3 linked regions of the Nothobranchius furzeri genome follow. The protein of the gene in region 3 purifies or fractionates together with the protein of the main gene of each other region. This does not show direct contact. Links are inferred from orthologs where the notes say so. Each region holds a gene or a part of one and is shown on either strand. Other genes may lie near its edges.

The links. Proteins that work in one complex are often made in the same cells at the same time.
Region 1: the proteins of stau1 (region 3) and rpl13 purify together in Homo sapiens (affinity purification with mass spectrometry; 3 studies listed by BioGRID and IntAct, with this or other methods). This does not show direct contact. The link is inferred for Nothobranchius furzeri from reciprocal best matches to the Homo sapiens genes STAU1 and RPL13.
Region 2: the proteins of stau1 (region 3) and heterogeneous nuclear ribonucleoprotein Q-like purify together in Homo sapiens (affinity purification with mass spectrometry; 3 studies listed by BioGRID, with this or other methods). This does not show direct contact. The link is inferred for Nothobranchius furzeri from reciprocal best matches to the Homo sapiens genes STAU1 and SYNCRIP.

Annotation. Positions count from the first base shown.
Region 1 is NC_091749.1:58,214,335-58,217,116, reverse strand, and holds the end of rpl13 (large ribosomal subunit protein eL13), read right to left. Parts: intron 1,602-2,782; coding exon 1,428-1,601; intron 1,115-1,427; coding exon 1,058-1,114; intron 943-1,057; exon of another isoform or gene 855-942; intron 803-854; coding exon 644-802; 3' UTR 595-643; downstream 1-594. UniProt on the Homo sapiens protein: Component of the ribosome, a large ribonucleoprotein complex responsible for the synthesis of proteins in the cell.
Region 2 is NC_091742.1:17,028,179-17,031,807, forward strand, and holds the end of heterogeneous nuclear ribonucleoprotein Q-like, read right to left. Parts: intron 3,520-3,629; coding exon 3,366-3,519; intron 3,249-3,365; coding exon 3,130-3,248; intron 3,062-3,129; coding exon 2,840-3,061; intron 2,693-2,839; coding exon 2,516-2,692; intron 2,443-2,515; coding exon 2,307-2,442; intron 2,240-2,306; coding exon 2,034-2,239; intron 1,906-2,033; coding exon 1,756-1,905; intron 1,688-1,755; coding exon 1,566-1,687; intron 1,429-1,565; coding exon 828-1,428; 3' UTR 781-827; coding exon of another isoform or gene 773-780; 3' UTR 595-772; downstream 1-594. UniProt on the Homo sapiens protein: Heterogenous nuclear ribonucleoprotein (hnRNP) implicated in mRNA processing mechanisms. Component of the CRD-mediated complex that promotes MYC mRNA stability.
Region 3 is NC_091743.1:66,055,585-66,059,667, forward strand, and holds the start of stau1 (double-stranded RNA-binding protein Staufen homolog 1), read right to left. Parts: upstream 2,954-4,083; 5' UTR 2,763-2,953; intron 1,026-2,762; 5' UTR 923-1,025; coding exon 724-922; intron 608-723; coding exon 489-607; intron 411-488; coding exon 266-410; intron 155-265; coding exon 1-154. Other genes in the region: pbrm1l (polybromo 1, like), read right to left, coding at 3,281-3,444, 3,550-3,754, 3,874-3,938. UniProt on the Homo sapiens protein: Binds double-stranded RNA (regardless of the sequence) and tubulin.

The sequences.
Region 1 (2,782 bases), on a different chromosome or scaffold from region 3:
TAGCAGACAGGAGACGTTTTTTTCAACATGGATTTTTCAAGTTGGACCTGTGGATCGAGGAGCATCCAAGACTGAACAGACTTGAGACAATCTGCTGGTGTGGAGTGTTTGTGTGTGACCCTGATGCAGCTGCACGGTTACAGCTTCCTAATGCACAAACTCAGCCTATTCGGGATGGGCAGGACAGCACACTGGGAGACTGTGGATGGCTGGTATTTACTTGGGAGACGGGCAGATGTTTTAGAAATCTGGGTGATTTCAACTAATGACCAGAAAAACTACCAGTAGTATCATACCCTGGAAAAGTCACAGTACTGGACGTCATAAACGATCTTCCTACAAAAAGAAAAAAAAAACTTATCCCACCCACGAATAAAAGTAGGGAGGGACATCAAAAGCAGAGGAAAGTTCCCCCAACCAAATTGCATCCTGGCTGTATGACAAATTATCAAAAGAGGTACCACTTCTACTTTAGGCCCACATGAAAGATTTAATTCCTGATTAACTTTGTTCCTGTGAACCTCATTGCAATTACTCTTTTCTACTTTTTCCACAATTACAACTGAAGTTTGTTCAAAAATACATCAATCTCACTTTGCTCTTTTTTAAAGACTTTATTTGCAAAGTTCCATAATGATCATTTTCACTTCTTCTTCTCCACGTCCTGCTCAGCTGCCTCTTTGGCTCGCTTAGCACGAATGCCAAAAAGACGGGCATTGGCCCGGGCCATACGCAGACTGGCGAATGCCTTGAAGTTCTTCTCATCCTCGGAGATAACACGGGCCTTCTCTTTCTTGTGTACCTGAAAACAAAGAAAAGAACTCATTAGACAGAAATAAGCTTCAACTCTGATTAACAAGCCTTGTTTTTTTAACAGTCATCAGAAAAAAGGGTTCACATTTTTCATCAACATAGTGCAGAGATTCCGGAGATGTGTCATCATCTGACTGCTGTGGTACCAAAGATTCATGCACACATAATGAATGCATGAAATTTAAAGTATGAAATCAACATATTTAATGTAAATTTTACAGAAACTTAAAGATCATGAACTTACAGTTTTGATGGGCATGATGGGACCAGAGAGCTGGGTGGCCATCTTCAGTTCCTCCTCCTGAAACAAGATCAGGAAATTTTTTTTAAGAGATAAATAAAACACCCTAGTAAAAAAAGTTCATCAGAACATATGGCCAACATCTGCACTTGTGTAAATCACACAGATGAGCATACAGACTGATCTAAAACCACACTGATAACTATATCAGATGGCTATTTGTGCTCATTGGTTTACATAAAGGATGATGAACATTTTTACATCCATCTCACGCAATTAAAACAGAGGGGCCATGATGTGAATTACCTTTCCAGCTGCTATATTGTGCATTTTCCAACAAGTCCATGTGTGAAGAGGTAAAAGCCAAACTTACTGAGCTGTCACCCTTCTTGGGTGCAGATGCCTTTCTGGGGAACAGGATGAGTTTGGAGCGGTACTCCTTCAGACGCTGCACATTAGCCTGAAGAGACTCTGTGGATCTGTTGCGACGACGAGAGTCAACAGAGATGCCAATAGTGCGGGCTGTCTTCTTGTGGATTCCGGCCGCCTGCAGGACAGAGCAGACCTTGTTGAGAACAAGGACAACTCAAACCGCAACCATATAAAAATAAGGTTCAACGTTCCTAACAAATATATAGCCTCGGGAGATGACTGCAGCAATGTAAAACACTGATAACCTAATGGGTCCAGATACTAACACACAGTCTGGAATTATATTGGACAGACCAGAAAGGAACAGCATTTATATGAACACCGACACTAAAGCTGGTGTTGACTAGAGGTGTGAATCTTCACTTGTCTCCCGATTTGATTATGATTATTGGGTCAACGATTCAATTCGATATCCCGATGCATCACGATTATTTCATATTGATTTGTTTTCATCGATAAATAGAAGATGTCAGATAATTGCTTTTTTTTTATTTTTATCAAAAACGTAATTGACACAACTTGCCATTCCTCAAAATCTCTCCATCCACAACAGGTTAGGACAAAACATTTTAAACATTTAAGAAGATTTAATAAAGTAAAACAATCTGTTTCCTCGTTCAACACCACGCATCAGGCTGAGAAAAACACGCTTTGCAAAAACTCACAAAATCTAAAAAAGGTACTGAAAACCTACAGGACACATAATGTAATAATAAAATACATAATGGGTCCATATATGAATGTTTAATGTCTCTGAGCAGCTCTAGAGTCAAATATGTATGCCACAGTTGAAGGCTGTCAGAAATAACACCAAATGAAATGTTTGACTTAGTTTATTATTTTATTTGAACCCAGTGGTTCGTTTCTGAAATGTTGGAGAATGAATCAAGTTCTGTTTGATGCAGAAAACAATAAAACATAAAACTAATTCTACACTTCCAATAATATTTAAGATGTGTGTTTTATTCTTTCTGATAACACCAGCAGAAGGCTGTGGCCTGGATTAGGATTAAATTACCCAGCTGATGGATCTCCTTCACTAACCAGCTAACTACAAACCTTTCCACTAACCTGTCCTGTGGGACCCTCACCATGTAACCTTCATGTCCATGCTGTCTCTGGAGGAGCAGATAGGAGACAGACCTCCTGTAACTTAAAATGAACCAAAGCTTCCTCCCAGTTTCTCTTTAAGCTGAATTCAACATCAGTTTATCATCATGAAACAAAAGAATAAAGTTGAACAAGAACTTCTATCTTCTATTTCTCTCTCCTTTTAACTTCTCCGTGTCCCTAAGT
Region 2 (3,629 bases), on a different chromosome or scaffold from region 3:
GACTCAAATTGTGCTTTTTCTCCCATGGGTCGGTAAGGAACGTGGGCGGGGCTTACTCTTGATGCTGCCTTCACGCTGAATTTACGACACCAATTTGTCAGACGTTAATGTTTTTGGATGGATGGAGTATGCCACTCTACACATACAGAGCACTGGAGATGCCGACTCAGGAGTAGGTGACTCATGCATGGTGACACTGTAGCACGTGGCCAACTTTGGCAAACCTTTGGTCCTTTTCCTTCCACAAGGAGCCTTAAATTTGAAGGAAATTTGAAAAGAGAATTTGCCGAAACATGAATTTGAAACACAATTTGAAGTTTTGTACACGTGTGCGTGTATGTTTATTAATGCAGACAAACAGCAGAGTACAAGCCAAAATGTGAAGCCAGAACCAGGAGCGCCGCGGCCCCGTTTCCTTTCTGCTCCAGGACAACACACGCAGTACTTAGACAATACAAATCGTAAGTTCATTGGTTTAAACACATGTGCAGGAGACATTAGCGTTGTTGCTGTTAGCTACTGAAACATGGAAACCAGAATGTCTAAAAACACAGAGCCGGAGCCAGAATGCCGCTCCAGCACATTGGTCGTCTAAAAAAAGGGTTTAAAAGTTTGCTGTGAAAATCGTACAAACCAGGCAGGAGTAACACGTGGGAGTGTGGCTATGTTGGGAGTCCAAGTGTATTATTCAAATAAAGATCTGCTCATGTTACCAATTTGGAGGAAAACAGAAAAAAATGCAGGCAACTGTGAGGACTGAGGGCCAATCAGATCAAGTCTCTAAAAAGACAAAAACAAAGAGCTTATTTAATCGAAGCCCGTCGGCTCTACTTCCACTGTTGCCCAAAAGAATCCTGATAAAACTCCTGGTTGTCAGATTTGTAACCATAGTTACCAGAATGATCGCCACCATGGAGCGGCTGCTGAACAATGGGTTGCGAGCCCCAGTTCTGATTATTGGTCTGGCGCCGTTTGGAATCGGGCTGGTTGTACCCGTCAGCTTTGCGCTTTCCTCCTACATTTCCACCGCGACCACCCCGAGCACCACGTACCCCTCCTCGCCCTCTCGGCTGCATGCCTCCTCGTGCTCTGCGCCCGCCTCGGCCTGGTCCTGGCCCACCGCGCTGGGAGAAGTTGGCCCTGCCCCTGGGCGGCCCCACGCCGCCACGTCCTCTAGCTGGCGAGGCTCCGCCCCGGAGGCCTCGGCTGCCGCTCCGCCCTCTGCCCTGGTAGTCATCGTAGCCATAGTACGGGTCATCGTAGCCGCTGCGATAGTTGTGATAGTCGTAGCTGTAGTAGTCATAGTAGTCCTCGTAACTGTAGTAGTCAGGAGCGTAGGAGTAGCCGCCGCGATTGGCCCCTCGGCCCCGCCCCCTGCTGGAAGGAGATACGTGGGCAGGAGGGGGGAAGTGGTAATAGTCATTAAACCTGGTGGATAGAAAAAAAACACACATCAAAGCTCTGATTCTCCAGGTAAACCACTATTATAAAGCTGTTTGTTTCTTTAGGCTCACTGTGGGTAAATAGTGATGATGTCATCCTGCCACTTAAGGGGAGGGACTTACATCTGTGTCCTAGCGGCTTGTCTCTGGGCTTTACGCTCTTGTCTTTTCAGATCTGGCGGTTTGGCAAAAACAATCTCGATGGGCTCCCCTTCCAGCTCCTTCCCGTTCAGGTCTTGAAGGGCCTGACGAACACAAACCGGGTTTAGGACGCCGTCTGAAGCGGCTGTACGGTGTTGGAGTTCTGCCGTACCTTTGCTGCTCCGTCCCGCTCTGCAAAGTGAATAAAGGCGTAGTCTTTTAGTTTCTTCACTCGCTCTAAATTTCCAAACTGGCTGAAGGTCGTCTCCAGGAGCTCCTCCGTAACGCCGTTGGCGAGATTCCTGACAAATAAGACCTTCACCTGCAACAGGAAGCAGCAGCAGCTCAGCTTCGGGCCGCCTGTCCCGCCGCGCTACTTTAACTGAAATATACGTTATTAGTTCCTGACTTCCCCTCGAGCCTCTTCGGGCTCGGTAAGTCTCGGCTCACCTTGGCCATGACATCTGGGTCGGGGTCCTCGATGGGATCCGCCCACTCGACCGTCACCAGGTTGCCCCAGACCTTGACCTTACCGCTCATTAGTCGGCGGCGGGCCTGAGCAGCGGTTTTGTGGTCTTCGTACTCCAGGAAGCAGAAACCTCGGTTCTTCTTCTTGTCATCGGGTTGATGGTACAGTATGACATCACTGACACCTTCTGCTCAGACAGAAAACAGCGATCACAGAGGGCTTGTGGTCAGATGCGTTTCTACGGCAGCGCCTACCTGTGACTTTAGAGAACTCTTCCACGATCTGCTCCTTGTTTTTGTTCTTGGGGATGGAGCCAACAAACAGCCTGTTGTTGGCAACAGAGATGCAAACGCCGATGTGCTTCCCAGGGCGGATCTCGTAGTTGTTACACTACACAACACAACACAGAGCTTAGAGATGATGAGTTTACCTTCAACACCTGGGCTACTTCTGTTTAACTGACCAGCTTCACAGCCTCCTGGGCTCCTTCTTTAGCACAGAAGGTGATGAAGGCGTAGCCCCTGTTCAGGCTGCTCAGGGGGTCCATCATTAACCTGAGGTCCCAGATAGGCCCCGCCTTCTCAAAGAGAGGAACCAGCTCATCTTCAAACAGGTCACGAGGAATCTTTCCAACAAATATCTGGGGGTGGGAGTCCAACCGTGTCCGTTAGGCTGTCCGTGTTTCATTGGTGATAGCATTTACTGGCTGTGTGTTTGACCTTCATAAGCTGAAACATAAATGATTTTTCCCTCTCAGGTTTGATCTTCAGACCCGCAGACATCTCACCTCAGTCCCGATGGTTGGCTGGGGACCGGAGAACACAGACTCGGGTGGAGGTCCTCCGTACTTCCTCTGGCCTGTCGTTACGTCCAGGGTGTAGCTGGTTCTTTCTAGCAGCTCTTTTATCTTTGCCTCGTCTGGTCCTTTGGTGGAAGGTGAGACTTTAGTCCCTTGTTTCTCTCTCTGCCTGTAGGTCTTCATCACCCCACAAAGAAAGGCACTTTTGTTCTGGAAAACAACAATTCCTTTTCAAATGAAAAAAGTCAGTGTGAAAGCCTCCAGGTGAGGATGCTTACCTGTACGTGTGACAGATCACTCTCCTTAAACTGGACCAGCACCTGCAGAGCTCCATCTTCATTAAACTCCTTTAAAGCTTCGAGGGCTCGTTCATCCAGGTCACTGTGAGCCACCAGACCTGTGGCAGGAAATGCAGTAACTATTATTAGATGCACTTAATGATGTTCTGCTCTCACACCAACCAACACCACCATACAGGTAGGAAACACTGTTGTCAGGTAACTGCAGACCGTACCTTCTGCAAACAGCTCATCTAGCTTCTCCGCTACCTTCTGAGCTAAACCAGCTTCCAACAAGGCCGGGAAATGTTCCGTGTGGGCCACTGCTGATGTGTCCGTGGGCTCCTCTGTGTTCCCGTTAACGTGGTCTGTGGCCATGTCTCCAGACATCTGCAGACACAGAGCTCAGTTACCACCGGGGCTCATGGGAGACAGATCTATGTCTTTTAGAAACGCTGAGTAAACATGTACAAATTGTTCTGTAGCCAGTTTTAAACCGT
Region 3 (4,083 bases):
TGTTGCATAGAGCGCTGGTAAGGCGGAGCACGAACGTTGTAGTTGAAGTTCGGCGGTCTCATCCCGGGATACGGGTCGATGGGTTTATAGATGGGTTTTTTACCGAGCTTTATGCAAAGTGCATTCAGCTCCATGGTGTGTGTGATGCCATCAGCTGCAGGGGACACAAGAAAATACAAAATGTAACACATCAACTCTCCGATCGTAAAATGTTAATTATAATGAGAAAACAGAACCAGCGGGAGAAGCCCATGTGGGTTCCTGCCTGTGTTACGCGGCATCCTCATGGTGGGTTTGGGAAGAGTTGTCTCAGTAAGAGCAGAAGCAGCAGCGGAATGCTGGGCTTTCTTGATACTGGTCCCCTCCGCCTCCCAGTGTTGATCTCCCAGCGTCAACCTCACTGAGAAAATCTGAAACAGACCTTCTATCATTACTGTAAACCCGACAGGACAACGGGTTGGACGTGTGAGACTTCACACCCGCTGTACCTTGGAGTGTGCTGGCCCTTGCTCAGAAAGCAGCTTATATTCAGGTTGGAGCTTGTTGAAACGAGCTAACTCATTCACCAAGCACATGGGGGTCTTCTCTTTAGGGTTTGCCATGTTTACTGAAACAAAATAATAAACACCATTAAAGAAAGATGCAGACAGCCACAGCTTCTGGAGTCAACCCAGATCTAGATGGTGAAGGAAAGAAACCCAAACTATTTCAAAAAGAAAGTACCTGTGGTGGTATTATAAGGAGTGGCAGAGCCCGCAGGGAGGGCGGAGCTCCTGATGGGCTGACTGGCACTCTCCGATGGTAGGGCGCCCGTAGCACAGGGGATGCTGTAGCCAGGCTGCGGCTGTCCCAGCTGAAGGGGGGCAGAAGCAGCAGGCATGGAACTAACAGGACACTGAAACTGAAGCTGAGACATCCTCATTGCTCTTGTATTGTTGAAGGTTGAAGTCAAGATTAGTGATTTACAGTGTGGGAGTGACCGAGGACTGAAGAGGTCAGGATAAAAGCTTGGCCTGGAGAAGAGTCTGAGAAAGAAATATGATATTATAACAAATGTATTTTACCAAATAATTTGCATTTTCAAACGATTCTTGGTTAGAAAATTAGCATGGTTTTGTTACAAGAGAGATGATTGCAATTTATTGCAGTTATTAGCTTCATTGTGAGGTTTATATATTTATGTTGGTTCTAAAAACCGCCACTGGATTAAATGTAGCTAATTTGACCATTAATATCATTAAATCAGTGCCTGTAGTTATTGCAAATCTCTCAACAGTACATCAATTTATGTAATTAAAAATGCATATATTGCAAAAGTAGCACTCTTTCTAGCAGGTGTCCACATTTTTCTTTATCATTTATTTCTTTTCACTTACTGAAGAGATACGTTGAGGCTGACACATGACAATGAGATACACCAAATGTTTACTTGGTGCCCATGGCTGTTTAATTTTTTTAAATAAACTGTTTATTCATTTAAAGAACCTCTTCAAAGATAACTTATAAATGTTATGTCAAAAATGTTCCTTTGTCATTGTGATATAATATTTGTTTAACTCCAACCATGTTGCATGAGCCGGGCCATACTCAGACCTACAGCCCAAGCTGAGAACCAGAGCTCATGGGTCTCCTTCTTGGCTCCAGAAGGGACGGCAGCACCCCCAGTATCTGACCATGGTGCATGAGCCAGGCCACAATCAGACCCAAAGCCCAGGCCAAGAACCAGAGCTCAAGGGGCTCCTCCCTAGCTTCAGGAGGGAGACCCCCTGTTTAGAAATCAGAAGGTTTTAGTGGCATTGCATGTGAATACTTGAAACTGGGTGGCACTCAAGTGGCGCAAACAATAAAATAAACATGATATAAGAAAAGGCAGATATAAAAATACATACATTAAATTTAATCTTTACCGGACTAAATAATGTGCAAAAAGCCTTTACGCAGCAGCAAACATGTTATTCAGTAATACTGGATTATTGCACTGATGGCATGTTTTTCATGCTTTAACTTGACACCCATCCTGCCTGGGTGATGAACTGTAAACATTTTTCATCCGTTTTGTTATTTTTCATGATTGGATCTTGATCCATTGCAAAACAAAGGACAAAGATTGAAAATCAGATTTCAGCAGCGTCTGCTTGTTCTGATATTCACGTTTCTCCATCACATCAGTTTGGCTGGAAAGGATGAGCCTCTAAAGCCTCTAACTGAACCACCTCTCATTTCCCATGGACCACCGGTCGCACGCAACAAACTGCGGAACTTAATAGCATGCTTTTTGTTGCTAAAAGGTTATCTTAATGCTACATTTATGTTAAAAACAAGATTACTGGCAGGTTAGCCGATGCAGAGAATGGACCAAAAACACTTGCAAAAAACATGTCAATGCATTATACAGCCCATAACTCTTGTCTTTACAAATATTTAAAACATATATACATACATTATTGTCAGAACATGATCCATTTCTAAATAAGGCCGCGAGGAGTTAATAAAGGCTACTCCGAAGGAGCATGTTAGCAAACCGGTCAGCTCACCGCAAAGGCACCGGTGTAGCAACCTGATATCACTTTTAGAATCGTTAGGTAAAAAACTTACCAAAAACACTTAGCTTACAACTAAACATCAGTAAAGTCTTACAATATTTTTTTAGTCTGGTCAAGGACATGTTTCAGGTTATTTGGCCAACGAACCAGAAAGCAGCCGGTGTTGACAAATTAGCTTAGCAGCTAGCTAAAGCCGACAGTGCACAAAGCAAGCCTCACCTCTTCGCTACTTTTCTTCGTTTTTTTTTTGTTAATCCATAATAAAATATGGCTTAATGGGGTTTGTTTGGTTTTACGTTCAGCTTCAAGAGTCAGTGTCTGTTAATTTGTATTCAAAATGCGGGAGGCAAGGAGGCGAACATTGGGAGGACACGGCAAACACTAAAGAGAATGGCACGGTCTTGATCGTCTCACGGAAATGGCGTCATCAAACCGGAAGTACTTCAAAAATAAAATCCAAAAAGGCAAGAAGCTACATAAAAAATGAAACAAACATGAGGTTTGCAGCTTTTTATTCTGGTTGCATCAATAAGACAATAAAATAAAATCACAGGTTTTAGCAGAACTATGATTTAAGACGGTATAAAAATGCACACAAATCACTATCAAGTTCACTTTTTTAGCTAATAAATATAAAATGGTTGTGACCCACTATAAAATATTGCTTTCTACCATTTGAAAACTCCACAAACTGAGGATAAGAGTAGTTACTGAGGTTAGTGGTTCTGTTTGGGAGGTTACAGGTTGTAAGCCTGACAAATATTCAGTGAGTCTCTCAGCATCAAGTCCCGTAAACGCCACAACGCATCCACCATTGTTGTGTGAGCTCCTTTGCTCTTCAACCAGTGTGCTGGAAGGCGACTCTCCTGCTCTTTGGTAAAGTGAGCATCTCGTCTTTGAGCTGTTATGGATAAAAGTTATCAGTAAACAACAACAACAAAAATGTTGAATTTGCATCAACGCACAGAGAAGCAAACTGATTTGGGAGTGAGGGGAAAAGCATCACCTTTTAGCATTTGGTCCCACTTGCTGACAGTGCTTGATTCTGAATTTAAGCCCTCAATGTACTTCAGGTAGGCTTCTGAGTGGAGCACCCTCTGGGTCTTTGGTGGTGGTCCAACAAACATGGGAGTGGTGGGCTGCAGATGAGATGGCTGGCCCTGTCCGGGATATGGTGGAGGAGCGTGCTGTCCTGGACTAAACACCCCAGGCTAAAATAAAATAAAGCAATTGTGGTAAACCCGCACTGTTCATTTCAGTCAGTCTAGCTTTTATTTACAACATGGTTTCAACTGCTCTGTATTAACAAAAAAAAAAACAAAAAAAACACCTGTTGCATAAAATTTCCTTGTCCAGGACTTCCTGCCATCCCATTTGCACCAGCGCCCATCATACCTGTTTAAACACAAGATTTACTCTGACAAATGAGGAAAAGGAATTTACCTAATTTATAGTTTGCTTCATGTTTTCAACACAGCCTCTGAGAAAGTTAATGCATGAAAATTAGCTAAATGTTAGTCATCTGGTATCAGTTTGTCAT